7 linked regions of the Macaca fascicularis genome follow. The protein of the gene in region 6 purifies or fractionates together with the protein of the main gene of each other region. This does not show direct contact. Links are inferred from orthologs where the notes say so. Each region holds a gene or a part of one and is shown on either strand. Other genes may lie near its edges. The genes, in order: CDCA4, PPP2R1B, MTCL1, PABIR1, IQGAP1, PPP2R2B and IER2.

Region 1 (4,385 bases), on a different chromosome or scaffold from region 6:
ACAAGGGACGAGAGAGAATCTCCATCATCCTCCACTGCATCTCATCCCATCCACAGATCCCATTCTGGTACCATGAGAATATTCCTGTTCAGTCACTTCAAATCATTGCTGTCCAATGTTCCAAATCTCCAGCAGCTAATTCTGTGTTGTACCCAATATTTTAAAATGCTAACAAGTTTATTACTATTAATACAAAAAGGAGTAAAGCTCACAGGTGTTTTTTACAGTCGCGTGACCCCTAAGAGCTGTCACCCACAACGTGCGTTCAGGGGTGAAGAGGATAAGGTTGGGCCCGGAGAAGCTGGCCTGTGAGGATCACCCTGAATTGGGCCATATCTGTGTTTGGGACAAAGTCACCAAGAGCATCATCTTGACCAGCCCTGAGGGATGCCTGGGCTGGGCCCAGCTCCCTGAGGGCCTCCAGTGTGACTCTGGCCTGAGGCTGCTTAACTCCTTCTAATATGGAAGGAAGGGCCCTATACCATACGGGCGGGGCTGTGGAGCCTAGCTCCCTGCTCAATTTTTTTTTTTTTTAAGAAGGAGTCTCATTCTGTCCCCCAGGCTGGAGTGCAGTGATGCAATCTCAGTTCACTGCAACCTCCACCTCCCAGGTTCAAGCGATTCTCCTGCCTCAGCCTCCTGAGTAGCTGGGACTACAGGCACGTGGCACCACACCTGGCTAATTTTTGTATTTTTTGCAGAGACGGGGTTTCACCATGTTGTCCAGGCTGATCTCCAACTCCTGACCTCAGGCAATCCGACCACCTCAGCCTCCCAAAGTGTTGGATTACAAGTGTGAGCCACCATGCCTGACCCCCTGCTCAGTTTTGAAGCTCCTTCTACACATCTAGGTAAATGCCTAAAATCCCACCAACTCCACAGGGTGTCAACGGGACAGCCAAGTCGTTCACCCCTCAGTCAACTCCCAGCACCGCCCTTAGGCTTCTAAACCAAGCATCAACCAGAAAGAGAAAAACCAAGAGGGTCAGACAGACTGAAGATATGTCTGACATGGCAGGTGGGACAGCCTACAGGCCACTAGGGACAGAGTAAACTAAGCCCACGGAGGCAGAGGCCAGCAGAGAGCAGCCCCGCAGTGCTACTCAGGCAAGCAGAGTACAGCTGAGGGACCGGCCCTTCACTACAGCAGCAGCCGCCACACCTTCGTGGCTGAGCAATCCCATGAGGCTGGCTGAAAATGCAGATTCCCAGATTCTGACCAATAGGGCTGGGACTGCTGGGGACAGACTCAACTCTGACCTAACCTGTCACCTTCACAGCTGGACTTGCAGCCACTTCGAAGTTTCGGGTTAAGCAAATTATCAACAATTTCCATTTCTCACACATCAGATAAGCTTTGAAATACTCTATCGGAAAAACAGGAAGAAGAGGAGCAAGGTCTTCAGTCTTGAGATCTACTGAGTGGGAGCTCCACCTTCCACTACAGTCTGCTGGAGGCTGTTCCTGAACAATTACTGATACGTTAATTTCAGGGGTTATTTTTGTTTTGTTTTGTTTTTGAGACGGAGTCTTGCTCTGTCGTCCAGGCTGGAGAACCTCCGCCTTCCGGGTTCAAGTGATTCTTCTGCCTCAGCCTCCCGTGTAGCTAGGATTACGATTACAGGCATGCGCCATCACGCCCAGCTAATTTTTGTATTTTTAGTAGAGACGGGGTTTCACCATGTTGGCCAGCTGGTCTCGAACTGGGGACCTCAGGTGATCCACCCGCCTAGGCCTCCTCCCAAAGTGCTGGTAAGTGTGAGCTACCGCGCCCAGCTAATTTCAGGTACTTTTGTTACTTGGAACGATACACCTTCCTTTCCCTGAAAACATGTTCCAATGGCAAGTTGAGGGAAACTTCCTGGCCCCTTTTCTAAGATAAAGCCTACCACTCTTCCTAGAAAAAGGGTGTAACTCACTTTGTGTTGATTTCCACCCTAATTATAAAACATGGTGACACTTGAAAATAGAGTGGTTGTACGTAGAAAGTTTATAAAACCTAAGTTTTGGGAACAGGCGATGTTTTTCTGTGGCTCACTTTGAGAGAACGGTTATCTGGGTCCTGCCGTCTCGTGAGTCCCACACGAAGGCCACAGGAGAGGCGAGGCAGCGGAGACCCTCTATTCCAGCAAGCTGTACGAGCCTTTGTCACGACGATCCTGTTTACTGGACGAGAAGCGTTTGAAAACGCGCAGGGAAGCTTGCCTCTGACTTCTGCAAATGTCTCGGGGACTCTTCCTAATCCCACCTCGGAACGCCGGAGGAGCCCAGGAAAGACGGCGCTGGCCGACCCGCCCGGGGTCTGGGCCTCCTCCCACATCCTCGGCCCTCTCCGCGGCCGGGATCCAATTGAGGGGGCTGCAGCGCGCCCTGGCCCGGTTAGTGAGGTCGGCCCGGGACAGGGCGGGGGCGGCCGTGGCGGGGCGCGCCCGGCGTTCCCTCCGCGGCAACTAGAGCCGAGGTACAGGAAACGCCGCTGCGTACCCCAGCCGGGCCCTCGCGAAGTCGCTCCCGTGTGGGGCCGCCCGGAGGCCTCGACGAAGCCCCAGCTCCGCAATCCGCATGGAACGCAGACGGCGGCCCGGGCCCCTCTGGTTCCCCGGGCCCCCTCAGCAGCGGCCACCCCGCGGTGGAACCAGCGCCCAGGAGGGCGGCGAGGGCGCCCGCGGCAGCCCCAGCGGGAACCCTGAGCGCCGCCTCCGCCCCGGACCCAAGCCAGCGCCAGGAGCCACAGACTCCGCGCACCGCCCCCGGGCTCCTCCGCGCCCGGCAGCACAAACGCGCGCGCCGCCGTAGACGCCCTCGCGGTCAGCCAGACCCGCTCACCTGACCCGCGAGGCCGCCCGCCGGCTCCTCTGCTCAGCCGCCGCCACCGCCGCCGCCACCAGCTTCCCGCCGCTGAGGGAGGAGCGCCCGCCGGCGCGGGGCGGGGCGTGCGACCGCCACTCAGCGTCCACAAAGGGTCGACGCTGCGCCCTCCGCGCGCCGTGCCCACTGATTGGCCACCCACGGACCGGGGGCGGGGCCTCTTGTTCAAACCCGCGCGGGCGGGGCATCTGCGGCGCGTGTTCCCGCGCTGCGGCGACGGCCGTTGGGGCTCGCGCGCGCCCTCGGTCGCCCCGCCCCCGCCTCCGCCTCCGCGCCGGGCCCCGCGACGCCCACGCCGCGCCGGCTCCCAGGTCTCCCCGCGCCCAATCCGGCCCCGCCCAGCCCCGCCGGCTCGCAGGTCTCCGCACGTCTGGTCCTAAACTGAATGCGCCTGCGCTGGGGGCCCACGTGGTGCCCTCGGGAGGGCGTGGCGGGGCAGCCTGGTAGGGGCTGATCCTCTCTCGCTTCTGCCTAGGTTAACTTCTCTGCCGAGGGATCCGTGCCGGGGTGGGGAGGAGCCGGGAACGGCAGTTCCCGGGCGGCCTGGGCTCCGAAGTCTATCCCAGCCTCTCCAGAAACCGCGGTTATCTCTAGAGGCTTCCCAGGTTTACACGTAAGAAATGTAACGTGAAAGTAGAAAGCAGGGAAACACGTGTTTTAAATCTCTTAGTGGAAAAGGTTTTAAATAGGATACAAGAGTCTAATATTCTTTGAACGCCTGCAGCAGGCCCGGCAGGCGTGGCTGCAGCTGAGAACCCTGTGCTGGTGGTGGGGGAATCCTCAGCTGAATCCGCAGATGCGGATGCGCCAAGGTCAGTGGTTAATGCTGAAATGCTGTCGGAAAAAGCTGGGAGTGACGTTGGGGCGCTGCTCACATAGGTCTCTAGGATAAGAGGCGTCTTAAAGCACCAAAAGGAAGAGTGGAAGAGTATTCCAGGAGAGGAATGGCTAGGACAAAGCCCGAGGCAGGGGCAGGAAGAAGTCTCAGTGCAGTGAAAAAGAACCCTGTGATCTCGTGGGAAAGTTTAAATGTGAGAGGTGGAGTGATTTTGAGGCTGTTCTCTGAGTGGGATGGAGACTACTGGGACGGTCAGCAGAGAAGGAACTGGGATCTGAATTATGCTTGAAAAGAATCACTGTTCTTATTTAAAAAAAAAACAAAACGGGTTTATTTCGCCCATGCTGGAGGACAGTGGCGTGATAATGGCTCACTGTATCCTCGAACTCTTGTGCTCAAGTGATCCTCACGCCTCAGCTTCCCACGTAGCTGGGACTACAGAAGTGTGTGCCACCACACCAAGCTAACCTTTTTTTTTTTTTTTTTTTTTTTTGGTAATTTTGTAGAGACAGAGTATTGCCTTGTTACACAGGCTGGGCTCCAACTCCTGGCTCCAACTACCTTGGCCTCCCCAAGTTCTGGGATTACAGGCATGAGTCACTACAACCACCAAGAATCACTGTTGGTAGAAGATTTGGAGGAGGCGGCAGGAAGGCTGGAAGTAGAAAATCCTATTAGG
Region 2 (4,374 bases), on a different chromosome or scaffold from region 6:
ACTGGGAAGACAGTGATACCATTTACTTAAGTGGAACAACTAAATGAGAAGTGTATTTGGGGGATAAAGCTAAGTTTTGTTTTGTGTATGTTAAGTTTGAAATACCTGTTTGACATTCAAGTAGAAAAAAGCATAGGCCTGTATACATAGAAATATATGTATCTATATCTATATATTCATACTTATCTATTAATCAATCTACCTCAGGAGTTCCATGGAAAAACCAGAACTAGAGATAGAAATCACCAGAATCAGTATTACTACCCAGTATTGAAAGCCCTGACGCATACATCCCTACCTTGTCCATCTGTTGAATTCCTGGTCATCCTTTAAAACCTAGTTTAGACATCATCTCCCAAGGTCTTCCCTGATCACCCTGAGTGAATCTCTTTCTCCCCTCTATTACGTGGGTAGGGTATTTTGTAGGTACTTACACCTTTCCATTTAAGACTGCACAGTAATTATTTGCTGACGCATAAAGGCAAGGGACCTCATTCAATTCACTTTGGTGGTCATTTTCTTTTTTTTTAAGCGATGGGGATCTCACTATGTTGCCCAGGCTGAATTCAAACTCCTGGGCTCAAGTGATCCTCCCATCTCAGCCTCCTGAGTAGCTGGTACTACAGGCTTGTGCCACCAAGCCCCCTCACATTGGTCTTCTTCAACATTAACATTGTAAATTACGATATGTCTGATAAAGTAGACTCTTTTTTTTTTTTTTTTTTTTCAGATGGAGTCTGGCTCTGTCGCCCAGGCTGGAGTGCAGTGGCCGGATCTCGGCTCACTGCAAGCTCCGCCTCCCGGGTTTACGCCATTCTTCCGCCTCAGCCTCCCGAGTAGCTGGGACTACAGGCGCCCGCCACCTCGCCCGGCTAGTTTTTTTGTATTTTTTAGTAAAGACGGCGTTTCACCGTGTTCGCCAGGATGGTCTCGATCTCCTGACCTCGTGATCCGCCCGTCTCGGCCTCCCAAAAAGTAGACTCTTAATAAATGTCAATGAAATTGAACCAAATTCATCAAAAATTCATCAATTTGCATCAGAAAGTCAGAAGCAAAAGTTACAATTGACAAAGACAAAATGCTGCCAGGTGAGAATTAAGGTTTCCAACATCATGCGGGGGAACCATTAAAACAATCAAATCCTTTTTCTACCTCCATCTAAACTAGTAAGTCTACAGATGCAGAAAAGAAGGACGAAGTTCTCTTATTCACAGAAAAAAAAGAAGGGGTTGAGTCCAAAGTGCCTATAGTATTTCTTCTCTCAATGACTCACATGACTATCTGCCCATAAAAAGATCTGCATAAAAAATGCTGCAGTGTGTCTATCACCAAACTGTGTATCATTTATACTGCAAAAGTTCTAGGAGGGTAGGCAGCTTATAAATACTCACCAGCAGACAGTGGGCAAAGTCAGGACCTCCCACTAGGCCAGTGAAATTTCCCAGCTGCTCAGCAAGAGCTAATAGTACCTCATCTTCATCATAAATTGTATCTGGAAGGGACAACAACAGGGACTCATCAACATGGATAGCTCTCACATAGCTGGACACTGACACAAAACTAGGAACAGATTCACTATGCGACCGGTAAGGTGGCCCAGTCAAAATCCTAACAGCATTTTCTTCCTTCTCCTCAATCAACCATCTTCCTGGATCTGTTTTGCACAACGAATTAGAAATTCATACTCCCATATCAATTACTTTCCCAACAGCTAAATGGTTGATGTTTGAATATATCTAACCACAACTAATAATATCCTCTGTTCTGTTTCTTTTGCACAGAAAGCACCTGGCTCATTTTAATGTGGGTAACAAACTCTAAAAAAGTCAGTGTCGAAAGTCCCTGGAAAATGAATGTCCCTGCCTTTCTTTAAACAAAGATTCACATACCTGTAAGAAATGGCAACAATTCACTTCGCGTCCTTTCTACTCCAAGTGCTAGGGCAATTGTTGATAACTTCTTAATACTGTTGAGTCGGAGCTTCAGAAAAGAAAGTAGAAAGAAGAACAATGTAAAGAAACGGCTGAATTTAGATCAAAAGACAAAAGGTGCTAACAGGTGAAATAATGACACAGGGGTAAGAACGAAGATAACCTTTTACTTAGATTTTACTGTTAAGGAACCTCCATAGGACGGAGGAGTGTAACTCGGCCTCACTAGCCGGCGGAAGATTTCCTGGGAGAAACACTCAGAAGGGCCTGGAAGAGAAATGAATGAAAGACAATACAACACCCAGGAAGTAAGATAATCTTAAAAAGAGAGGACTTTGGCAGTGGTGAAGCAGGTGAAACGGTTGAATACAACGCCTGTGGTTTCAAAGAAAAGTTCCCGCAGAGCTGATACAACGACTCGTCCAGGTTAATCGGCCATCCCACCCCCTCTTTCTACCCAACAGGACGAGCCAGTTCCAAGCCCAGATGAAGGGATTCCGAGGCACTTCAAAGAGCTTCTGGGCATCCTGCGCCCCTCAGCCGCTCCAGCCCCGTCTCGGCCCGGCACCGCGCTTCTCCAGCTCCCTCGCCTACCAGGCGCGGCCACCTCACAGCCCGGATAGGGCGCCCAGGCGGGAAGCGGGTTCCCCGACAACCGCCCTGGAAAGGCAAGGCTCCGGGCGGACCCCTTAGGGGGTCCGAAGCAGGGGTACCAGAGAGGTCCCCGGGAGGGTCGAGGCGTGTCACCACAGCCCCTCGCAGAGCTTTCCCTGCCTCCCCTTCAAGTTTCTGCTACGAGTCCGGCTCATTCAGTACCCCGGCCACCCCCACCGAGGCGCAGGCCTTCCCCCTTCTCTACCACGCGACCAGTCGGTCTCGCCTCGGCTCCCCGGCCTCAGTCCAGTACCTGCACGTCTTCATTGCGGAGCTCGTCGATTAAAACCGCGATTGGGTATAGCGAATCATCTCCATCTCCCCCCGCTGCTCCTGGGCCGGTCCCGAGCCCCGATGCGCCCGCCATGTTCTTTCTCCTCCTGCTGCTGGTCACAGCCTCCCGCCCCGCGCCCAGGCCCCGCCCCCGCCCCGCGCCCAGGCCCCGCCCCGCGCCCGGGCAGCAGGGGAGAAGGCCGCCGCGCGGGTTTAGCAGAGGTTGGGGAGTTGAGTTTCTGTCCCGATGATTAAGACTCCCTTCCGACCCCCACTGCAGGAGTTGTAGGTCTGAACTCAAGAAGACGGGTGGGCTGAGAAAGCGAATGGAACCCCTGCGTCCTTTCCCCAGCCGAAAGAAACAGGGACAGGGATTCATCCGGCTCGTTGTAGTCTGAAGGGGCCAGGGACCTACCTGAGTGATCCGCGCTGTGCCCTCTTAAGACTCAGGCGGACCAAAGAGAGTGCCCGAGGCCAGGAGGAAAAAGGCTTTAGCACCTCCCCTGACTTCATCCTGGCCCTGAGCCACTGGATCTCCAGCCCTAATTTCTCCGCTCAGCCTCAAGCTTCCACAGAACCCCTCCACCTCTTCCGTCGGCCTGTTCTCCAGAATGGTATCTGGCTCCTGCTCCGTAAGACAAATAACGCGGGCGGTGAGAGAAAATGAACAGTGCTGTCCAAACTCCCCAGTCAATATTTTTTCCACGCAAGCTGTTAAAAACATGCTGCTCTCTTGTTTTTGTGTTTCTTTTCAGTTTGGTACTGGAATGGTGCCTTCTGTTGTATTTTCTTCCTCCCATTTTTTAGCTCTTTAGCATGCTAGAAGTACAACAATGAAGCAAAACTAGGACAAGCTTTAATCCCTTGAGGAAGAAAACCCAAACTGGCCTCCCTAGACCTCCAAGAGTCCTCAGAGGCAGCAAGGGGAAGAGGTGGAGGTCTGGGAGCTCGTTCTTACAAACCTGAATGGAAAGTTTTCACTTATCCTTGTCAGGGTAGCACAGAATAATTAGAATGTTTTGTTTGTTTTAGACTGGAATTTAAGCAGCTTGGAGTGATAACTACATATGGTGATCACAAGCTCCGAAATGGTAATTCTATATGCCTGATTAATGAAACTATTAATGCAGTGTAGGAGACAGACTTTTTTAAAACATGGGGTCTGAGGCCGAGGCGGACGGATCACGTGAGGCCAGGAGTTCGAGACCAGCCTGGCCAACTTGGTGAAACCCCATCTCTACTAAAAATACAAAAATTAGCTGGGCTGGTGACCGGCACCTGTAGTCCCAGCTACTCAGGAGGCTGACATGAGAATCTCTTGAGCCCCAGAGGCAGAGGTTGCAGTGAGCCAGGATCGCACCACTGTACTCCAATCTGGGCGGCAGAGTGAGACCCCGTGTCAAAAATAAATAAATAAATAAATAGGGTTCTTGGAAGTAAGCACAATAGAGCCTGTGAATGAATGAATGAATGAATGAATGAGGTGCTTGGAAGTAAGCACAATAGATAGAGCCTT
Region 3 (3,881 bases), on a different chromosome or scaffold from region 6:
CTTATCACTGCTCCAGGTTACACAATAAGGACCTAGGAAGAATCCGGGAGGAGAGCTGTCTGACACAGGCTCTAACTGCACACAGCTATGTGTGACACACCTTGAAGGGCAGAACACTTGGAAAGGGAGATGCAGTTCCTGTAAAACCAACCATCAAAGGGAAGGGGGCCGCCCTGTGTAGCCGGAGCTGTGGTTCCAGAAACAGCCCATGGCAAAGAAGGAAGAGCTACAGTGGGAAGGGAAAACTGGCCCCTGACTAGGGGAGCTATGACATACTTCCCCCTTGTAAGTCCCCAATGGCAGGACATTGCATTCTCTATTACTAATCATACTTTACACTGACACAGCATCTGGACTTTTAGAGGTGTTTCCTCATTCAACAGCTCCTTGGGAACCCCCTCTTTCTCTCCCGGGTGGGGTGGCCTGTGTCTAAGAGCTTTCACTCTCCCAGGCTTCTGACAACAGTTCCAACCATGGTCCCTGTGGTGGCTGCAGCCTTGTGTACACCGGGTTACTGTGGTGAAAGAGCCTGCTGAGGGTGCCCACAGGTCAGGAGTGAGCCTCCCTGACTCTACCAACCGGCTGGCAGTATCACTCGAGACCGTGGGATGGTCACACGAGACACAGGCAACAACTGAAAAAGGGGAGCCCTAAGGGGAGTTTCCTCCAGAGCAGGGAAGCCCGGGCTGAGTTTTCATCCCTGTTCTCTGCAACTGCACAAGAAGCCACTGCGCGCTCAACAATCGGCCTGCCTCCAGGGGCTCCCGGTCTGCGGAAACAGGAGGTGGACAGCGCCTGCGGTGAGCTGTCCCTCTGTCTGACAAGCACAGCAGTTCACCGCATGCACCTGCACACACCTGCCTGTCCCAGTGCACGCAATGGGTTTGCTGCCAAGTGAGTTCCACCTAGTTCCACATCCTCCTGCCATGTTCCCTCAGGGCCTTGTCCGGGACAGAAAACGTCAGGCAGCCAGCCACACAGAAAATGGAAGGGGGGCGGGGATTGCTTGCCCACGCTGACCTCCAGACTGAAGCAGGTCTGGCCTCCCAGCCCATGGCTCCCGGCGTCCCCGTCTGCGCGGCGGTGCAGCTCCCGTGCAGTTCGGAGGCGCAGGCTCTCCCGCTCGTCCCCTCGGGCCGGCCCCAGCTGCCACTCTAGCTGCTCTCTCAGTCTGGACTGTTAGGTGCACGGGAGGGATTTTTGTTTTTTTTAAATTTTAAACAAACAAACAAAAAACACAAAGGACAAGAAGGTGGAGGCAGGGAGAGGGGATAAAGAAAACAAAAATGGGTAAGGGAGACGACTGAGAAAACGACCAAAGAACAGCACAAATAGAAACACCAGCTTAAAGACAGCGGTGGACGAAAGTGAAGAGAACAGACCCAAGATGAGAATGAGCAAAAGGGCGGGTGGACACATCCGAAAAGCAAAAAGAGAAAGTGGGGGTGCAAAACACTGGTTACGGGGCACATGCGATGGCGATGCGTGAATCCGGAACTCAACCGCAAGCACGCTACCCGTGAAGGAAACGGAAAACGAGGCTCTTCCTTCCTTACTTGTGGGTCGAGCAGCCAAAGCCACAGTCCAGGGCGGCAGCTGGGCCATGCACCCAGGCGAGGCTAGGACAGCAGTCCTCGGAGGCCCTCCGCGCCCTCCCCAGCGGCGGCAGGGCGGCACGAGCCAGCAGCGCTTTTCCACCAAAACCATCATCCTTCTCAGCACCGCGCTCCTCGCCCGCTTTGGCTGATCCTCCAGCGGGAATGGGGGCCTGGGCTGCCTAGGGCCTTGGACTGCACTGTGTCCCTTGAAACACACCCAGGAAGGGACGTGCTTGGTAGCGAGTCTGCTAATTATCCTGACTGTGACATGCGTTTGTCTTAGCCTCCTCACGGCTTCTTCAGCGTGTGGCTGGTTGGTTGAGATACCAAGAGAGGAGCAAGGCCGGCCTGCGTCGAGCCCTATCGCTTCCACTGGGCTTAGCCTCGTGTCTGGGAGGGCCTCTAAACCATGAGCCGTGGCGCAGTTAAAAATAAGACAGGAAAAAGGAAAAAGAAACAAGGCAATACAAGAAAACTTAAAAAAAAAAAACAAAAAACAAAAAAAACGGAGCCCAACCAAGAGAGAGGATCCGGTTGCCCCGGAGGCTTTAGTACAATGCAGGTTTGAAATCATAACCAAGCAGCCGTGAGCAGCGTGAGCCCGAGTGCAGCAATGCCAGCGAGAAGGAGGAAGAGCAAGGCGGAGCAGGGAGGCGAAGCCACGAGCCCCCTTACCTGCAAGTCTGGGCCCAGCTCCTTCCCCAGGTTCCCGATGGGGGAGTCCCGGGACACGGAAGTCACAGTGGAGAGGAAGCTAGAGGACTCTGTGAGGTGGGGCAAGGGGGATAGGCCATCCCCAATGCGGTTCACCTGCTCCAGGAAGGCCTGAAGCTCTTTCTTGAAAGACTTCATCTTGGCGTTGATGGTCCCCAGCAGGTGAGGCTCCTGCCGGTCCCCCTCGCCCCGCTCCTCTTCACCCTGGAGGCCAGGCCCCGGCGAGGGTGCACCCCCCTGCAGCCCCGCGTCACGGAGGAAGCTGTCGGTGTCCGCGATGAGGTGCTCCACCGTCCGCTCTAGCCGCTGGGCCTCGTGTTTTAGGGTCACTAGGCACTCGGAGTCCTCCCGGGCCTTCAGGAGCTCCGTGGCGCACGGCTCGCTGGCCTCCGATGGCTTCCCGCTCCCGAAGCCCGACGTCTTCTCGAACATCTCCTCCGAGTCACTCTCCCCGCCAACAGGGCCTTCCCGCTTGGGCTGGGGCAGGCGGCTCTCCTCCCCTTCACTCTCCTTCTTGCCTGCATCGCTCTCGGCATCGCTGTCCCGGGGACTGGGGGCACGCAGCCCCAGGTGCGCTGCCAGGTCGCAGCGCTGGATGTTGGACAGCAGCGCATGGTTCTCGTGCTGCAGTTTGAGCACCTTGCCGCTGAGCTCGCTGATCTGCAGCCTGGCTGACTTCAGCTCCTCCTGCAGGGGTGCCCCTCCCCCGGCACCAGGACTCGCACCCTCCCCGAGCCAGCCCGGCTCCCGGGGAGGCTCAAACTTAAACTTGCTGAGCTCATGGGTCAGCTGCCGGTTGTGGTCTTCGATCTCGGAGATGGACCTCCGGAGCAGCTCCGCTTCCTCTTCCACGAACTGCAGGTGGCGGCGGAGCTCAGTGGAGGACTCCAGGGAGTCGCCGAAGGGTGAGGTAGGAATGCTGGGTGCGTGGTCCCGGCCCAGGCCCTCCCGCTCCTGCTGGCCCCGCATGTCCTCCATCTCTGCCTTGAGGCCACGGTTCTCCACCTCCAGCTCCACGATCTTCCGGCCCAAGATGTTGGCTTCCTCCTCCACCAGCTTCAGCCGCAGCTTCAGCTCGGCCTCCCGGGTGCTGGGGGGCCCGCCTGCTTCCCCCGTGGGCAGGGGGCTGTCCACATCTCCATAGAGGGACTTGTACTTCTGGAGCTCCTGCTCCAGCTCGTCCTTCTCCCGTCCTAGCTTGGCCATCTTTTTGCGCATCAGGAAGGCTTCCTCTTTGGCAAACTGGAGCTGGCACCTCAAATCGGCACTGTCATCCTGCCAGGAAAGAACAGCCCGGGAGAAGGGTTATTTGAAAATACCAAATGTTCGTGTTTTTCATGATTCCCCTCACACCTCGCCCCCAATGCACACAAACATCAAACACCGATCTTCCCGTCGGTGCCGTTGAGTTACACAGAGAAAGACCCAAGACAAAGCAGGGGTGGGCCTGGGGCCTGTGAAAGGCCTACAGTTTGTTGCTTTGCCACAGAAACAAAAGAAACAAAAAAAATTAGTTTGGAAAAAAAAATGCACGTGGAAATCATCATACAAGTTATGAGCGAAGTAGGC
Region 4 (4,437 bases), on a different chromosome or scaffold from region 6:
ATTGCAGAATATGGCCAGATCATAAAGAACCTTCTATCTGAGGCTAAAGAAATCATTCCTTAAAGAGTAGGAAATGGGGAAGCAAATGAAGTTTTCAAGCAAGAGGGTGAAAAATATCAAGTTTAAATTTTAGAAAGATTTCTCAAGAGGCAGTATAAAGACTGAACCAAAAGGAGACAGAAAACAGCCTGGGAGATCACTCAGGCAAAAACTTAAGGCAAAATCAGGGGCAACAGATAGAGAAGGGAAGAAATTTGAGATTCATTTCAGAAGTTGACAGGACTTGGTGATTAAGCTAATCCAACAGAGAAAAGGAAAAGTCAAAGATGCTTCCATGATTTCTAGTTTAGGAAATTAGTGATGACATCAATTGAGATAATGCAAGAATAGGTGAAGTGAGAAGATTAACAATTTCTGTGTTGAAGATAATGAAGTTTAAATACCTCTGGAGGCAGGGCAAGTTACCCAACAAGAAGTCAGACTATTTAAGTTTGAATTTGAAGAACAAGGTTGAGAATGGGAGCACATGAACACTATTACTCAGAAGAGAGAATTTTAAACCTGTGGACACAGTCTTACCCTCAATGCAATTTCACTCCATCTTGAGGCAACCATCAAGAGTTGACCAGTTCCATTTATTTTCATAGTCGTAAAAATTCCACAAAATTGTTAGTCTCTGTAAGTGATAACTTTAAAAAGTCAGAGCTTTTGTCTTGTTCTGAGTCATTTTTCCCCTTTCCTCTTTGTATGCCATTCTTTCTGTCAAACTATCTAGTTAAGGAAGCTATATGAGGTATAAGGAAGAATATTAAGAAAATTTTGTTATTCTTATTGTCTTAATTGTAAAGGCAAAGAAAAGAACATTCGACTATTCTACCTTTAGCAAAACCTAAGTTAAATAATGATTTACCTATGTGACTCTCCACTAATTTTCTCTTGCAAATCATCACCCCTTAATTAATGGACATCCCCAAGGCAGTCAACTCAAGCTGTAGCTTTAACCACAGAGGTTAAACAATTCAGTCCTGTTGTTGCTGTCAGAAATCCAAGTTACACTGTACCTTTGTCTAATCAATGGTGCCCTACTTTGGTGGGAGATGAAGGAAGGGACCTGTTGGCAAGGAAACAGCTGCTTCCTTCCTGAACAAGGGAAAACCAGTAAGGTGACAGATGGGCAGAGCAGAAAAGTAGCCAAAAATTGCTCTGGCTCCTGGTTGGCAATAATTTTTGGAACTGAGGCACAACTGAATATTTTAAAGTATATCAACAATTGAGAGAGAGTATTGTTTACCTGGGCGCGCCAAAGTTCAACAAGCCTTCCCACACATTTTCTACATTTGAAAAACTTTTACGTTTGCAGTAGTACAAAGAGCTTAGCCTTAGCCTATGTACAGTGGGCAAAGACTGCAAGGCACTGTCCCATTTCACTTTAGGATTGCACCCAAGCAAATGCACTTTCTGGTTAAAAAAAAAAAAAAAAAAGGAAAATTTTTATTTTCTCTATAATATAGTTGTATGACTGACTAGAATTACTATTAAAATCTCATTAAAAATGTTTTCCTTAAAAGTTTACTTTTATATACTTAATTTGAAAGGATTTGTTGCAAACTTTTATAATTTGTTCTCTAATCATTCCCCCTCCCACCCACTTCGGTACCCAGAAAACTAAATATCCAAGAATTCCTGGGTAAAACAGACAACCACTAGATTGATATAACTAACGTATTTTTTTTTTAAGCTGTATAGTTCTTCATCAAATGGAAATCGGCAAACCACTGAAAATAACATTAAAAATTAGTGTGGGCATGAAGTATGGAATTTTAAACATCAGTTTACTATGCTGATTAAGTCAACATTTATATTTTCATCAGAACTTAATAATCCCATAAATAAATAGAGCTCTCAATTATTTAAAAAAATCAAGGGATAACATATGTATTTAGACATAGTAGCAGCGTAAAGATGTATGCTTCAACACACTTATTGGGGAAACGTCTGAAAATATTACTACACTGAATTCAAAGGTATCCGCAGGAACCTGACATAGAAGTTCTCTAGAATAACATCATTTCAGGAAATTTCAAAAAAGAAAAGGGGTCGAATAGGAAATAGCCTCAAATTAATTGACAAAGTTCAGTGTTTGCCCCAACTTGATTATTCTCTCTCTCCACTGCAAAAAGAAAGTCTCAGGATGAGTGAATCACTTAGACGAAAGTTCATCTAGTGGAATAAATGGAGAAGCCGCTTGGGCAGGTGACACAGGAGAGTCGGTGGTAGTGCTGACTTTCGCTGGTGAGTTACAAGAAGATCCGGCACTGCTGCTGTTTCCATCAAGGGTATCCGAAGATACACACACACCAGGATCTGACAGCTGTGCAACGTCAGAAGAAAGCATGTTGGTGATGCCCTGGAAAAATCTCTTTGGCTGATAATCAGTTTCCATTTCACATTTTCTTTTCAATGGTCCAAGAACACTTGGTCTAATGCAATTGATGGGGCTCTGGCTTCTCCGGGTGGTAAATCGGGTCGTTGGGCTGGGAATAGGGCTTGGAGGCAATCCGTTGCTACTTACAAAACTTTGCAAGGATGGCGAAAAACACTGCTTCCCAATTCCCCGAGTGGGTGACGGTGCCGGTGACACAGGAATGAAATCGATGCGCTTGGGGGAGGCGGATTTCTCCACGTCGTTGTCACTCAGGCTGAAACTTTCCTCCCAGGAGTGGCTTATCTGCATTGCGGTCTGCACCTCCCGTTCGTGGACCGTCTCTCGGTTGATCAAGTCCATACCCTCTTCTTGTTTGATCTGGTGCAAGCGGCTGCTGTGCATGCGGACAGGGGAGGCCGGTAGCAGCAGGCCGTGGCGGCTCGGGAACGTTGTGCTGTTCCGCCTGGCGCTCGGCGCCTCGGCCTGGAACACCGGCGAAGTGTCACTGAGGCCGTGGATCAGGGGGGCGCTGTTAGACCTCCTGAGGCCCCCGCCGCCGCCGCTGCCGCCGCCCTCCGCCGGGCTCCCGCCCGTACCCGGAGGCAGCTCCAGGTCTAGCTCCATCTTCTCCTGAGCCATGTCGGGGGCAGGGAGGCGGGGGAGGTGCTCAGTCAGGGACCTAGGATTCCCATTCCCCGCAGTCCAGGGCCGCCGCCGCTGCCGCCGCCACCGAGAATCTGTCAGCGGGCTGGCCCCTCTGCGCATGCGTACCCCTTCGCGCAGGCGCTCGCGATGTCCGTCCTCGAGGCGCCTGCTTTATGCGTAATATCTGCGCGGCAGTGGTAGGGGAGGGGCGAGGAGTGGTCGGGCCGCTAGTCCGTATATTCCTTCAGCAAATAGCTATTGAGCGCAAACTGGCATTGACGAACGTCAATAAGATTGTCATATTCTGGAGTACATATTTATAAAACGAACAAAGCCCTGAAAGAGAGGCCCATGGTGATGTGGGGCTGTATGACGGGGAGTGGCGCTTGCGAATCAGGGAGGGCTTCCTCGAGGAAGGAACAGTGTCCTGAAATCCGAAGAAGTGGGCGAAATGGGTGCGATGTAAAACTTCGCAGGAAGCGGGAAGCAAGGGCGACCCAGCCAGGTGGCAGGCGGGAACCAGGAGGGGAGGAGAAAGTGTGGCCTGGAGTGGAGAGTGAGGGCTGGCGTGACGTGAGGTGGTGGACCAGACCACATTCTGGTCTTTATCTTGAGAACAATGAAAACTTAAAGGGTTTTCAAGCATGGGTATAATAGCAACTGAAAAGCTCACTGGCCTGCAGTCTGGAGAACAAATACTGGGAGATTAAAACCTTACAGAAAAAAGGCCAGAGAGGATGGTAATTTGCACTAAGGTGACTGTGGAAGTGGAGATGGAGAGAAAAGTAAATGAGAACTGTTTAGGTTAGGGGAAAAAGCCAAAACCGGGGATGGTACTGATACTGATTTACAGTCATAGTTCCAGCACAAGCATATGTGTGAAGTATGAAGGATTAAAGGAAAACCAGTAGGTCCTCACATTTTAAAAATAAAAACACTATTCTTGGCTCATGTAATTAATATGAAACCTTGATAGCTCATTAAAAGTGAATTTATTTGTTCATTTATTCAGTCAAGGTTTTTTTTTTTTTTTCCAGCATACTTACTATGTGCCAAACACTGCTAGGAAATGGGCCCTAGTCTGAGAACTTTTAATTCTTACTGAGGGGAAAATACAGAAATAAACGCAGGCTATTTTCAGATAGTGGTAAAGCCTTAGGAAAAACAAGATGGTGTGATGGAGCACTACTGATAGAAGGCAGCGGACAATTAGAGCTGAGATCTAAATGACAAGCAGCAGCAAGTCACGTGGACATCTGGGGAATGAGTATTCCAAGCAGAGAGAATAGCAAGTGCTAAGGCCCGAGGCAGCCATGAGTTTGTTGAGTAAGCGGAAAAAGAAAGAAGGGCAGTGCTGCTGAAGCATA
Region 5 (3,881 bases), on a different chromosome or scaffold from region 6:
AAATTTAAAAACAGTATCTCCTTTTTTCTAGAAATGCTTCCTTTGAACATACAACCATCCCTTCCATTAGCTCCTGTCCATAAAGAAAAACACAATGGAAGATAACAAATGATTCCCCATATCCTTCAATCTTCCTGATGGGACAGAAATATAAAGGAACTTTACTTTTAAATGACAACCTAATAACTGTTAATAACATGACATTTTAGTTGTGCATCCTGTATGTATGTCATTGGTGCTAATGGCTTCCACTTCTAAATGACAAAAATTTGAATCCTACCATCCCTATTGGTAATTAAAACAAACACTAAAGCTTACAATAAAGTAATGCAACCTCTAAGACTGTAGCAACAGAGAAATTTTAGTGGAGTTTCCACTCTTTCCTAAGTAATGGAAGAAAATGAAGAATCCAGAAAGGTCAGACTAAGCCTGAAACACAATTTCACTATGAAAAAAGGGTAACAAAATGTCCCATCAGAGCGAGAGGAGTTAAAAATGTGGCATCGGGAGTGTATCAGACTGAGGCGCTGTTGTGGGCTAGGTCTTTGCTTCCAATGAGTCAAGAAGGACCTAGAAAGGAGCTATGAGGTGCTTCTTTCCTTTATCTTTCTGGGCTGGCAGCAAATGATCAATTACTTCCCGTAGAACTTTTTGTTGAGAAGGAAGATCAGGAGGTTGACATTTACTTTAGCTCTATCAAATAATTTCATGACTGCAACTCCTTCATATTGTAGCTGCAGCAGGTCCTATTAACAAAACAAAACATTTTGACAGTTAATCAAGTCTGTGGAACAAGGAAAAAGGACACAAGGTAGGGAGGGCTCCAGATGGACTGAGGCCTGCCTTGTGTGCCAGATGTGAACTGGGGTGAAAGAAAAGTTCCTAGCTAGGAAACTACCCACTGCACAACCAGCCTGAGAGCTGGAGCAATAGGGCGCACTGGCCAAAAGGCTCTTCTGGTTGATTTGGAGTTAGGAAGTCATGTTGTTCATATCAAAATTCATCATACATGGAAAGAAAAAGAAACATGTTCAGTTGCCACACACACCTAAGCTTTTTATTTCAGAAGTCACAATGACATTTTCGCATTTCATCCATGTTATGGGTCACTAGTTTTAATAAATCTGGAAAAGGTGAAGATTAAACCTACGATAAAATATACTAAGCATGGGAAATGAGACAAGGCTGGTAATGTCACCTCAATACTATCTGCTAGATTCTTAATTTCTTTTTTTTTTTTGAGATGGAGTCTCGCTCTGTAGCCCGGGCTGGAGTGCAGTGGCCGGATCTCAGCTCACTGCAAGCTCCGCCTCCCAGGTTTACGCCATTCTCTGGCCTCAGCCTCCCGAGTAGCTGGGACTACAGGTGCCCGCCACCACGCCCGGCTACTTTTTTTTTTTTTGTAGTTTTTAGTAGAGACGGGGTTTCACCGTGTTAGCCAGGATGGTCTCGATCTCCTGACCTCGTGATCCGCCCGTCTCGGCTCCCAAAGTGCTGGGATTACAGGCTTGAGCCACCGCGCCCGGCCCTAGATTCTTAATTTCTATTCCACATAAGAACACTCACTTTTTTTTTTTTTTTTTTTTTTGAGACGGAGTCTCGCTCTGCCACCCAGGCTGGAGTGCAGTGGGGCAATCTCAGCTCACTGCAAGCTCCGCCTCCTGGGTCCATGCCATTCTCCCGCCTCAGCCTCCCGAGCGGCTGGGATTACAGGCACCCACCACACGCCCGGCTAATTTTTTGTATTTTTAGTAGAGACGGGGTTTCACCGTGTTAGCCAGGATGGTCTCGATCTCCTGACCTCATTATCAGCCCACCTCGGCCTCCCAAAGTGCTGGGATTACAGGCGTGAGCCACCGCGCCCGGTAACATGAGAAAACTTTTTATCCTGAAGGCAAGGAGAAAAGAGAGAACTTGATGTTTTATTAGGTGTCTGCCATGTGCTTGGTATTGTGTAAGCACATTATATAGCATCTTTTAAAAGTCTTCACAAAAATTTTTATGAGGTGCGATCATCCTAATTTTAAAGATGAGCTATCGAGGCTCTGAGATGTTAAATGACTTGCACCACAGGACAGAGATGGACGTGGTAAATCCAGATCTGACTGCAATGCTCTTGCTTTTCCTGTTACTTTCGCCATTGTCCTGAACAAGTTTAAGAAATCTGAGCATTCTCACTTCTAAACTTTAGAAAAATGGTGATGAGAAAGCAAGGGTCAAAAGGCTTGAAAGGACCCCACAAGGCCGGGTGCGGTGGCTCACGCCTGTAATCCCAGCACTTTGGGAGGCTGAGGCAGGTGGATCATGAAGTAGGGAGTTAGAGACCAGCCTGGCCAACATGGTGAAACCCTGTTTCGACTAAAAATACAAAAATTAGCTGGGCATCCGGCGTGGTGGCACACGCCTGTATTCCCAGCTATTCAGTAGGCTGAGGCAGGAGAGTCACTTGAACCCGGGAGGTGGAGGTTGCAGTGAGCCGAGATTGCGCCATTGCACTCCAGCTTGGGCAATAAGAGCGAAACTCTGTCTCAAAAAAAAAAAAAAAAAAATTAGCCGGGCGTGATGGTGCACACCTGTAATCCCAGCCACTCAGGAGGTTGAGGCAGGACAATCAGTTGAACCCAGGAGGTGGAGGTTGTAGTGAGTGGAGATCACACCACTACACTCCAGTCTGGGCGACAGGGTGAGACTCCACCGCTCCCCCACCCAACCGCAAAAAAAAAAAAAAAAAAAAAGAAAGGACCCCACAAGTTCAATCATCTGCTGGAAAAATCCTAGCAGCTCCATGAAGGCTGCTGGCACCTGTGCCTAACATAATACCCCACACCTGGCAGTCACCCCACATTTAATGAATTTGTACATAAATTAATAAATTACCATAGGCAGACTGGTTGGCCTAACACAATTTGGTTAAGAAATTTAAAAATAAAAATATGTTCTGATAACTCCACGTAAATAAAATAAAAAAATTTTAAAATTAAAACAATAACAATTTGGTGAACTGAGGGAATGAGGTTCCTTTTTTTTTTGGTGGAAGTATTTCAGTTAGCTGTGTGCATCACAAAATCATTTCACATTTGTTTAGCTAACATGTTTTAATGGTCTACTGGTCACTGACAAGGAAACGAAGATGACTAAGAAATGCTACCTGTCCTTAAGGAGTTTATGGCTTTAGCGGGGAGAGGGGAAGTAAGTCAACACCTACTGTAAACAGAGGATGTCTGCAAAGGCTACAGAAGTGAAGGGGAAACCACCTATTATGGCTTGGCTGGGGGAGGTACACACATGGAAGTACTTGACAAATGATGGAGGAACAAAAGGGGTGGGGTTGGAAGGCAGGGGAGGGGAGGGAGGGCAGCATGAGCAGAAGTCCAAATGCACATTCACAGGAAGGCACCTGCCCAGGCTGGCAGGGCATGGCTGTGTGAAGCAGTGCAAGAAAGGAGACGGGAGCAGACTAACTGGTGCCACACACACAAAGCTAAAGGAGTCTGGACGTCACCTAGGAATCCTCTCAATGCCCTGCTATTTTTTAACGTGTAAAAATCAGATATTTCAAAATAAAACTTAGGGATCTTTATGCTGTAAAAATGAATTACTCCCGAGTTCTTTTTGGATTTAAGATAGGATGTGGTTTACAAACATAAACTTTACACACACCTTGTCAGAAGTGCATCTAACCTTTAAGTACCTACATCAAATCAAAATGAGAAAAAAATTTCAAGCTACTGAGTGGACTTACAATTTTGCAATGTCAGCATGTGTACTTATGCATTTTGTTCAAGTCCAAGGTATCAGCTCAATTTAGTGGCAGCACTAAGTGGAAGCTTCAGATAAATGTTTTCTGAAGATTTACATCTGCAAAAGCTCTCCAGAGTGTA
Region 6 (3,881 bases):
AAAATGTAGAAATATTAAAGGAAACAGAAAAGCAAGATCTATAGAAGGAGCTAGAAGCTAATTCCCCACCCAGTAAGTGGGTATAAGTTAATAAGGGGGAAGAAAACTTGTGGGGCAAGTCCCCAGTGAGGATAATTTTAACAGAGTCTTTTGATCTGGTGCTCTTTCGAGGTATACTAACACTTCTTAAGGTATTCATTGGAAGAACCGGGACTCTTCCCCCTCTGGCAATAAAATTGCATGAATCTTCCCTGAAACGAATAGGTCAAAACCATAGGGAACTTCTTGCTCTATCTAACTTCTGATATTTACATCGTTTAAGTTCTCTTTTCCTTTTCTTTCCATACCTTCTCTAAGATCAGATTTTAAAACCTGGAAGCTTCTGTGAAATAAAGGTTTGTTAGTTTTAAGTGTGTTTAGTATGTGTATATGTTTGAGAAAGAGAAAGAAATCTGAGAGGTTGATTCTCACATACCAGAAAGCTCATTGCTATAAACTCATATCTAATTGTTGACTACATGAACCTAGATATTCTATCCAGAATCAGAGTTTTCAAAAATGGAATAAAAATAAGAACAAAGGTAATATCCAGGGCCCTGAAAACAATAAAAGAATGCCATTTTAAACTGATTTCTTCACTTCACAGTTGACACTCCTATACACATAGCTCCACTCTGGTCATTTTCTCAGCTTGCTAAGTTTCTCTTGCCTGCATAATGTAATATACAAGAAAACACGAAGGCAGCTTTCTTTCTTTGTGGTTACAAACAGAAAGAAATTTACCCCCCAAAGCCAACAGATCCAAGGCCAGCTTCTCTCTTGGATGACATGCTTAGCTACAGAGTTAGTCATATGCTATCAAGTCACTGAGTCAGTGACAAAGCACTAAGATTGAGGGAGAACATCTTGCAATCAGGTTGCCATCATGCACAGAAAAAGAATCGGTAACTATGGTGCTCTGGATAGGGGAGAGATGGACTGCACATCTTAAAAGCCATCTCTAAGCTCCTGGAGGCCAGAGCTTACAACTCTGCTTTATCTGTCTAGCACCATGGGCATACTGGGCTTGATGCTCTCCAAAAATGATGGCAAATTGAGAATATACTTTCAATAGCACTGGGCATTCCTTCTATCTAGAACTTCCAGGGATGTTTATAGAAGATGCCACCTTTACCCCCAGATGTGTGTGTGTCTTTTTATTTCTTTCAGAGTTTGAACTATTTTACTCCCCCATCACATTTCTCTAGTAGTCTTTTGATTTGATTAAATATTACAGAAATGTTAGCATCCAAGAATAATAATTTTAAATGAATACAACTTGCAACATTGTCCTAAAGAACTTCCACATACATTTTCTCGCATGGATATTACAATGTGATAATGCAACACTTTGTAGGAGTGGCTAAGGATAAAAGGCCTACAGGTAGAAAATGAAAGCAAAAATGCAAAAGTTTTGGCATTGGGGGGAAAAATGCCTCTACTCTCTATTCACACACAAAAGGAAGAATGAGATTCCACCTGCTGACTTGCCCTCCCTGCCCGCACAGCACTAGGGCTTATGTCAGAACAAGCTGGGAGAGAGGGAGAGACGACAATTTCACCTCTTGGCAAAGCTCAGCTTGCTGAACCCTCTTGCTTTCTGCTGGCTGTTGATTCAGCAGAAACTACTGCTGCAGAATTCATAATGGTGATTTTTAAAGGCCCCACCGATCGCGTTGCTCGCCCCACGTGTCAGCCTCATTCGCTGGCCGCTAGAGCACTATTTCCCCAGCCACCTTTTTATTTTTGCTAATGCACTTCCAAAAGGAAAGACGTTCGGCCGTTTGCAAAGGGCCTTTGGGGTTTTGATTGTCTGAGCAGGTAACCTGGCCGGCCGGGGAGATGAATGGGCAGGAAATGAAACCATGCCCTCCCTGCAGCCACTGAGAGACATAACATCGTTTCGCTCAGGGAGGGGGTACCAAGGTCCTACTGGGCCCCTCCCTTCTTATCTCCCCCCAAAACCCCCGCAAACATCTCGGGCAAGGGATCATCTGCCTTCCTGGGGTCATCTTTCTGGGCGAGAGCCCCACCCTGAAAAGCCTAATCCCTGAGGGCCATTTTAACTCCCGTGGGCGCCGGGTCCACCTGCTGCTGAACGCCGGGCTCGCCTCGCGGAGCCCGGATGGATGCGGGGTGCACTGGCGGCTGCCGGGGCCAGCCGAGCCCCCGCCCCAGCCCCAGGGCCCGGAGGAGTCTCCGCCACTACGCGCCCAGCTGCCCACGAAGCACAGTGATCCGCAACTTGCGCCCGGCCCCAACGGCGGAATGCGGCGGGGCTGGCGTTACCTTCGGTCGCATAGCTGTGGTCGCGCAGGAAACTGTTGTTGATTTTGCGGGTATCAATGTCCTCCTCCATTGACAGCAGGCTTACTTGCGTGGGAACCAGAAGCCGGCAGACAAGTATCCATGATCCCTCCCCGCAGCCAGTCTCACAGGAGAGGGGGGCAGGGGAGCCAGTGGGACTGCACCATGGTCCGAGCCTGAGGAGGAGACGGGGAGGCGGAGAGAAAAAAAATAAAAACCCGGCAATGGAGCTGTCACCTCCTCCACTCGGGTTCTGCGAGGCTGCGGCGGCTCCTCCCGCGCGGTGCGCTCACTCCAGCTCCAATTCCCAGCGAGGATGCTGCGCCTGCCTCCGCTGCCTCCGGGTGCCAAGATGCGCCGTGCCCCGAGGGGTCTGGTCCCGCCCGCCCGCCCCGGAGGCGCTCACAAGCGGGTCTGGGGAGATGCCCAACAGGTTCCCCTCGTTGGCAGCCGCTCCAAAATGCAAAAAAAGATCCCTCCTCCCCCTGGGAGAGCGGGCAGCCGCGACAAAATGGTGCCTTTCTGGACCCGAGCTGCAGTGGCGAGATGGCAGGGACAGGATTCAGGCTTGCCTGGCCGGAATGAGGGTGCTGGTCCCACGGGAGGGCGGCTCCGGCAGGCGGGGGTAGGGAAGCTGGCGGGGAGCTGGGCAGGGCGCTGCGGCCGGCGCCAGCGCACTCACCCTCACACCCACACGCGCGCACTCGCAGCTGCTGCTGCTGCTGCTGCTGCTGCTGCTGCAGGAGGCTGGAGGCGGCTGGTGCATTAAAGGCGAGGCTCCTCCCAACCGCGTCAGCAGCCCCAGGACTCTTTCCCAGCAGTGGTGGTGGCCGAGGCAGAGGCTGCGGTTGCTCTTTACTGCAGTGGGGCGCATGCAGCCGCGAATCGGCACCTGGGCAGCAAGCGACTAGCTTGCAGGTTCAGGTGGAATGCATAGACGTGCTCTTCCAACCTCCTCCCCTCTCGCGCCACTCAGCTAAGGGCTGCATTTACGCTAGCACCCAGAGCCCCTAGCTCACTGCCCTTCTCCGAACACTTGCACTTGAGGACAGAAAAGAGAAGTAGGTTCCTTTGGATAGTCAGGAAGTCTACATCCAGGTCCCTTTTCCTCACCCTTATATGATGCATGTGGTCCCTTGGTGAATTTAAAGGGCGAGGTTTGGAGCTGGAAGCTTCAGAAAGAGAGGAGAGAGTGGAAAGCGCCGCTCAGAGCCTATCTTAAGCCCTCCACTAGGAATAGGAGGGAGAGCAGGGGCCAGAACTTCGTAATTGCTTCCCCCATTCCTAAGAGTCAAAATATCTTCTAACTATAGGAGGCTGGTGTTCAATAAAGCATCTGTGTCTACACAGGTGAAGGAAAGCACGAGACTAGTAAACAGGGTCAGTCTGAAAAAGTCCACTCTCCCTTGCCCTTTGCACTTCGTTTTGGACAAACTATTGCAGCCCTTCCATTAGGTTTTGCTTGTGCAGGAACACCTTCTATTTGCTCTCAGCGTGGAAGGTACACTGAAGCACAGGAACATAAGCACAAGAGC
Region 7 (4,011 bases), on a different chromosome or scaffold from region 6:
AGCCGGGTGGAGACACTGCTTAGAGGCCCATTTCACAGATGAAGAAACTGAGGCTGCACGTCCCTGCCTAAGCCACAAAGCGATTTCTCCAGGAAGATACGGGAATTGGGGCATAAATAGCCCTTCAAAGCTCACCCACTCAGCTCCACCTGAGGCTGTAGGGCCCCGGCCGCAGCTGATTCAGTTTGGTCTCGGGGTGGGGGCGGGGGGAGAGATCGACCACCTTTCAAGGCTTCAAAGGGCGATCAGTCCCCAGCTCCGCTTGGGGCACTGTTTAGTACTATCGTCTCAACTCAGAAAGCCCAGACCTCCCTGTCCCGGAGTTGTAGGACAATTTCAAGGGAACCCCCAAATCTGGAGGGGGCGGGGCTCCAGTTAGGGAATGCCCGGGCAAGGAAAAGAGGGCCCAGCCCTCTCCCGCCCACGTGGTAACCGGTCAGACCGGTTCTTGGGGCCCCAGCGAGCCGCCGCCAGCCCCTGACCCTTTAACCCCGCCCCTCCCCCACCAGAGCAGAAAACCAGACAGCACCGGCTTTTTTACTCAAATGGTCTTTATTTTCCTATCTGACATTTCTAACAAAACGCCAGGTAGACGGAATTAAAAAGAATTCACCACACGAAGGGTAAACAAAACAGACCCTCAGGAACTCCCTGGCAAAGATATTCCCCTCCCCAGATTGGCCCAGTTTCACCAGCAACTGGTCTCAGCTCAGCTTTATGCCTTTCCACTGACACCCCCACCCCTCCAACATTCTCGTGATTCAGACCAGGAACTTCTGGGATGATTGTGTCCGTGTCTGAGGGAGGGGCACGCTGAAACCTGGGAACCTACTGGGCACCTCTAATGCAGATGAGAAAAACTTGAATGTGAAACTAGATCAGCCCCCGCTCTCACCCGAAGGTGCAGAGGCGCGGGACATTAACCAGCAGCACGCGGGGATGAAGTGACTCAGGCCATTCTCCTCCCCACTCCCCAGGGCGGGTGCACGCCCCAGACCCTCCTCCCAGGCCCCACACCCACGCAAGGCGACAGGAAGCTCCCCACGCCTGCCCCATGACGCAACGATGACCGCTTACACAAGTATGTCAGTGGAGGGGGAAGGGGAGTGCCTGGAATTCTCCGAGGTTGGAAACGCAAAACCAACTCTTGAAAAACCTTGAAAAGGGCCACCACAGCCCCCAGTACAAAATCAAGTCCGACCCTGAGATCTAAAAAACAAAACAAAACAAAAATACAAAACAAAAACCCAAGCCTCCCTTCTCCCAGTCCAGAAGGAGAGCGAAAGGTTCACGTCCCAGTCCACTAAGAGACCTCTGGGCGCAGGTCTCTGCGGAAGGCGCCCGCGCCCCCGGCTCAGACTCCTCGGTGCCGTCGCTGCACACTGAAGGCGATGGCTCCCCGGGGACAGAGTCCCTCTCCGGGCCTCTCAGCAGCCCGGGCGGCGGCTTCTCTCCACGGTTTTCGCGGGCGCTCCCCCCGGGATGGAGGGGGGTGGCCTCGTCTCGGGTCTGCGCCCTCCGGCCGACGGTTCGACGCGCGCTCTGGGATCTGGCAGCGCCGCTCGGGGTCCTCAAAAGGCCACCACGGCCCGCACGAGCACGTTGAGCATGCTGTCCGCCGGGCGGCAGGCGGGCTTTGCCTCGCACGCGGGCGGCGCCGTCGGAGGGGCCGCGGGGCTGCAGTTCAGGAGGCCGGAGAAGCGCCTCTGCAGGACGCGGGCCAGGTTGGGAAAGGCGCCCTCCGCTTGCGCCGGGGGCGGTTGCAGGCAATCGGCGACTTCGGATGACGCCCCCTCCTCTTCCTCCTTTTCTTCCAGCCGGGCTTTCTTGCTCGGGACCAGTCCAGCGTCCCCGCCGTCGCTCAGGCTGCTGCTGCGTCGTTTGCGGCTGACTTTGGCGGGGCGCGGGCCACAGTAGGCGGAGGTCTCCTCGGCTGTCGGCGCCTCCTGCGTGTCCATGGGCTCCGGAGACGGGTGCTCACCGTCGGGGGTCGCTGTCTCGGCCGTGGACTCAGCTTCCCGGGGCGGGTGCAGGCGAGGGTCAGAGGGGAGGGCGGGCGGCAAGGACACTTCGGGCTCGAGGGCCTCTACCTTGGCCGAGAGGTAGAGCTCCCGGGCGCTGCGCATGACCAGCGACAGCTGCAGACTCCGGTGCAGCCGCAGGCCACCGCGCTGCATGCGGGAGTGATACATCTTCCACACCGACAGGGTCATGATGCGCTGTGCCTCCTTCTGCACTTCCATGGCGACTCGACGGCGACGGCGGCGTGGGCTCCCGGGACGGACAGAACAGGCAGCAGGTGCACTCCGGACAACGAGCTCGCTCACGCCTCTCTCCACAAACCAACCCACGCGGTGACACTGCTAGGACGCTCTGCCCGGGCGCCCGCCACCCAGGCCCTTTTATACCCCCAGTGACGTCACTGAGAAACCCCGCCCAACCGAAGGACGCATCCGGGCTTTCCAACTCGTCGCGGCCAAACACTCCTTAAAGCGACAGAATGCGATTTACCCAGCAGGGAAAGCGGACGGGAACCCTGGCGAAGCTTCCCCCCACTCCACGCTGAGCTCTCTGGGTGGGCTCCTTTCTCTCGGCCCCGCCGATGCATTAGCGCCTTGGCCCAAGGAAGGGGGGCCGGGGATGGGGCTCAGGGCCTACCCACATGCTCGCGTCTGGAGGCCCCAGTGGGTCGTGGGTGGCAAGTTTCCCTTCACACAGGGAAAGACCTGGGTTCCAGCCTGACCATGAGTGTCTTCTGCACCAATAATCATGCTAACAGCGCTTACTACGTGCCAGGCTAGGTTAAGAGCTCTCCTTTTATCCGTAATTCACCGAACCGCAGCCTCCACTCCTCGGAGGATACTGTTCTATCTGCTTCTTTCAAATGGGGAAACCAAGGCACAGTCACTGGGCCAATATTTACTAGACAAACAATATTTGCTACTGCTGTGAAAGGAGGCCACTGGGGCCTCCAGCTCTTCGGTCTCTAGCGTACGACAGCCCTTGCTTGTAGGCGGTGAGCCGCTGCGGGTTCCCGTGATTCGTACCAAGCCATTCCCCCGCAGTCTCCTGCGACAGGAGCTCCATGGGTGGGTTTAGAGCTCGCAAGGCTGCGAACCCGGCGCGCACGACAGTCCCCGTGAACACGTGGCTGCCGCCCCCCAGACAAGGGGGGACGAGTTCCGCCTCCGCGCTCCGGGAGGCGGGGTTCGGTTGGGAGCTGGAAACCCAGCAATGCAGAGACACAGCAAATAGAAAACCTCCGCCTTACCCTCCGCTACGCGCCGTCTCTCCAAGAAATCCTAATTGCAATTCCTCCAAAAAAAGGATGCAGACTTGTTCGAATGGCTCCATTCATTCCTGGTGCGGGCCCTTTAAGGGGTGGTGCGCCTCCCGTTTCCGCCCGCACTGGCTCGCGGCGCCTTCCCGCCACCAGCGCCCGCTGACTTCCACAACTAAATTTGGACGGAGTGACGTAGGACAGTCGCGCGGGCCGCTTCCGGTTGCCCATATTAGGAAAGGGCCCGTGATCGCCTTACCAGGCGGTGGCGGGGCTTCCGGGGGGGCGAGGGGCGGGGCTTTGCGCTCCAGGCACGCCCCTTCCCATCCCCCGTCTAGCCAGCCGGAGCAAGCTGGAGCCCCAGGCTTCCTGACTCGCATTCCAGCCATGTGGGTGGGGAGGAGAGTTTCACTTCCTTCCCTCCAGGGGCCAGGAAGGCGTGACGCCAGGAAAGCACCCCGCAGCGGGTAGGGGCGACCGGAGGGCTCCCACGAAGGCCATCTCCCAGAGACGCTACAGAACGACCCTACATACACAAGAGACGACCCGCTGAGACCCCGTTCATCCCATCTCTCCCCTTCCCAATTATTTCCCCCATACAAGGCCCCCTCCCAGGTTATCCCTGACCCCTGCCCCACACTGATCTTCTCAGGCCTTGGGGCACCCTCCCGTCCCGCCCTCCCCCCGCACGGTGGGAACTCAAAAATTATTCCCCCCTAAAAGACCATTCC

What was found.
Region 1: the proteins of PPP2R2B (region 6) and CDCA4 purify together in Homo sapiens (affinity purification with mass spectrometry; 4 studies listed by BioGRID and IntAct, with this or other methods). This does not show direct contact. The link is inferred for Macaca fascicularis from reciprocal best matches to the Homo sapiens genes PPP2R2B and CDCA4.
Region 2: the proteins of PPP2R2B (region 6) and PPP2R1B purify together in Homo sapiens (affinity purification with mass spectrometry; 4 studies listed by BioGRID and IntAct, with this or other methods). This does not show direct contact. The link is inferred for Macaca fascicularis from reciprocal best matches to the Homo sapiens genes PPP2R2B and PPP2R1B.
Region 3: the proteins of PPP2R2B (region 6) and MTCL1 purify together in Homo sapiens (affinity purification with mass spectrometry; 4 studies listed by BioGRID and IntAct, with this or other methods). This does not show direct contact. The link is inferred for Macaca fascicularis from reciprocal best matches to the Homo sapiens genes PPP2R2B and MTCL1.
Region 4: the proteins of PPP2R2B (region 6) and PABIR1 purify together in Homo sapiens (affinity purification with mass spectrometry; 4 studies listed by BioGRID and IntAct, with this or other methods). This does not show direct contact. The link is inferred for Macaca fascicularis from reciprocal best matches to the Homo sapiens genes PPP2R2B and PABIR1.
Region 5: the proteins of PPP2R2B (region 6) and IQGAP1 purify together in Homo sapiens (co-immunoprecipitation; 3 studies listed by BioGRID and IntAct, with this or other methods). This does not show direct contact. The link is inferred for Macaca fascicularis from reciprocal best matches to the Homo sapiens genes PPP2R2B and IQGAP1.
Region 7: the proteins of PPP2R2B (region 6) and IER2 purify together in Homo sapiens (affinity purification with mass spectrometry; 3 studies listed by BioGRID and IntAct, with this or other methods). This does not show direct contact. The link is inferred for Macaca fascicularis from reciprocal best matches to the Homo sapiens genes PPP2R2B and IER2.

The regions. Positions count from the first base shown.
Region 1 is NC_088381.1:173,204,177-173,208,561, forward strand, and holds the start of CDCA4 (cell division cycle-associated protein 4), read right to left. Parts: upstream 2,901-4,385; 5' UTR 2,321-2,900; coding exon 2,039-2,320; intron 1-2,038. UniProt on the Homo sapiens protein: May participate in the regulation of cell proliferation through the E2F/RB pathway. May be involved in molecular regulation of hematopoietic stem cells and progenitor cell lineage commitment and differentiation.
Region 2 is NC_088388.1:110,686,020-110,690,393, forward strand, and holds the start of PPP2R1B (serine/threonine-protein phosphatase 2A 65 kDa regulatory subunit A beta isoform), read right to left. Parts: upstream 2,980-4,374; 5' UTR 2,953-2,979; coding exon 2,839-2,952; intron 1,981-2,838; coding exon 1,890-1,980; intron 1,493-1,889; coding exon 1,392-1,492; intron 1-1,391. UniProt on the Homo sapiens protein: The PR65 subunit of protein phosphatase 2A serves as a scaffolding molecule to coordinate the assembly of the catalytic subunit and a variable regulatory B subunit.
Region 3 is NC_088392.1:77,204,097-77,207,977, reverse strand, and holds part of MTCL1 (microtubule cross-linking factor 1), read right to left. Parts: intron 3,588-3,881; coding exon 2,274-3,587; intron 1,177-2,273; coding exon 1,021-1,176; intron 33-1,020; coding exon of another isoform or gene 18-32; exon of another isoform or gene 1-17. UniProt on the Homo sapiens protein: Microtubule-associated factor involved in the late phase of epithelial polarization and microtubule dynamics regulation.
Region 4 is NC_088389.1:99,502,968-99,507,404, reverse strand, and holds PABIR1 (PPP2R1A-PPP2R2A-interacting phosphatase regulator 1), read right to left. Parts: upstream 3,165-4,437; 5' UTR 3,065-3,164; coding exon 2,201-3,064; 3' UTR 618-2,200; downstream 1-617. UniProt on the Homo sapiens protein: Acts as an inhibitor of serine/threonine-protein phosphatase 2A (PP2A) activity. Inhibits PP2A activity by blocking the substrate binding site on PPP2R2A and the active site of PPP2CA.
Region 5 is NC_088381.1:75,037,195-75,041,075, reverse strand, and holds part of IQGAP1 (ras GTPase-activating-like protein IQGAP1), read right to left. Parts: intron 747-3,881; coding exon 633-746; 3' UTR 1-632. UniProt on the Homo sapiens protein: Plays a crucial role in regulating the dynamics and assembly of the actin cytoskeleton.
Region 6 is NC_088380.1:153,679,166-153,683,046, forward strand, and holds part of PPP2R2B (serine/threonine-protein phosphatase 2A 55 kDa regulatory subunit B beta isoform), read right to left. Parts: intron 3,106-3,881; exon of another isoform or gene 2,919-3,105; intron 2,523-2,918; coding exon 2,329-2,522; intron 1-2,328. UniProt on the Homo sapiens protein: The B regulatory subunit might modulate substrate selectivity and catalytic activity, and might also direct the localization of the catalytic enzyme to a particular subcellular compartment.
Region 7 is NC_088393.1:13,559,266-13,563,276, reverse strand, and holds IER2 (immediate early response gene 2 protein), read right to left. Parts: upstream 2,376-4,011; 5' UTR 2,244-2,375; coding exon 1,572-2,243; 3' UTR 534-1,571; downstream 1-533. UniProt on the Homo sapiens protein: DNA-binding protein that seems to act as a transcription factor. Involved in the regulation of neuronal differentiation, acts upon JNK-signaling pathway activation and plays a role in neurite outgrowth in hippocampal cells.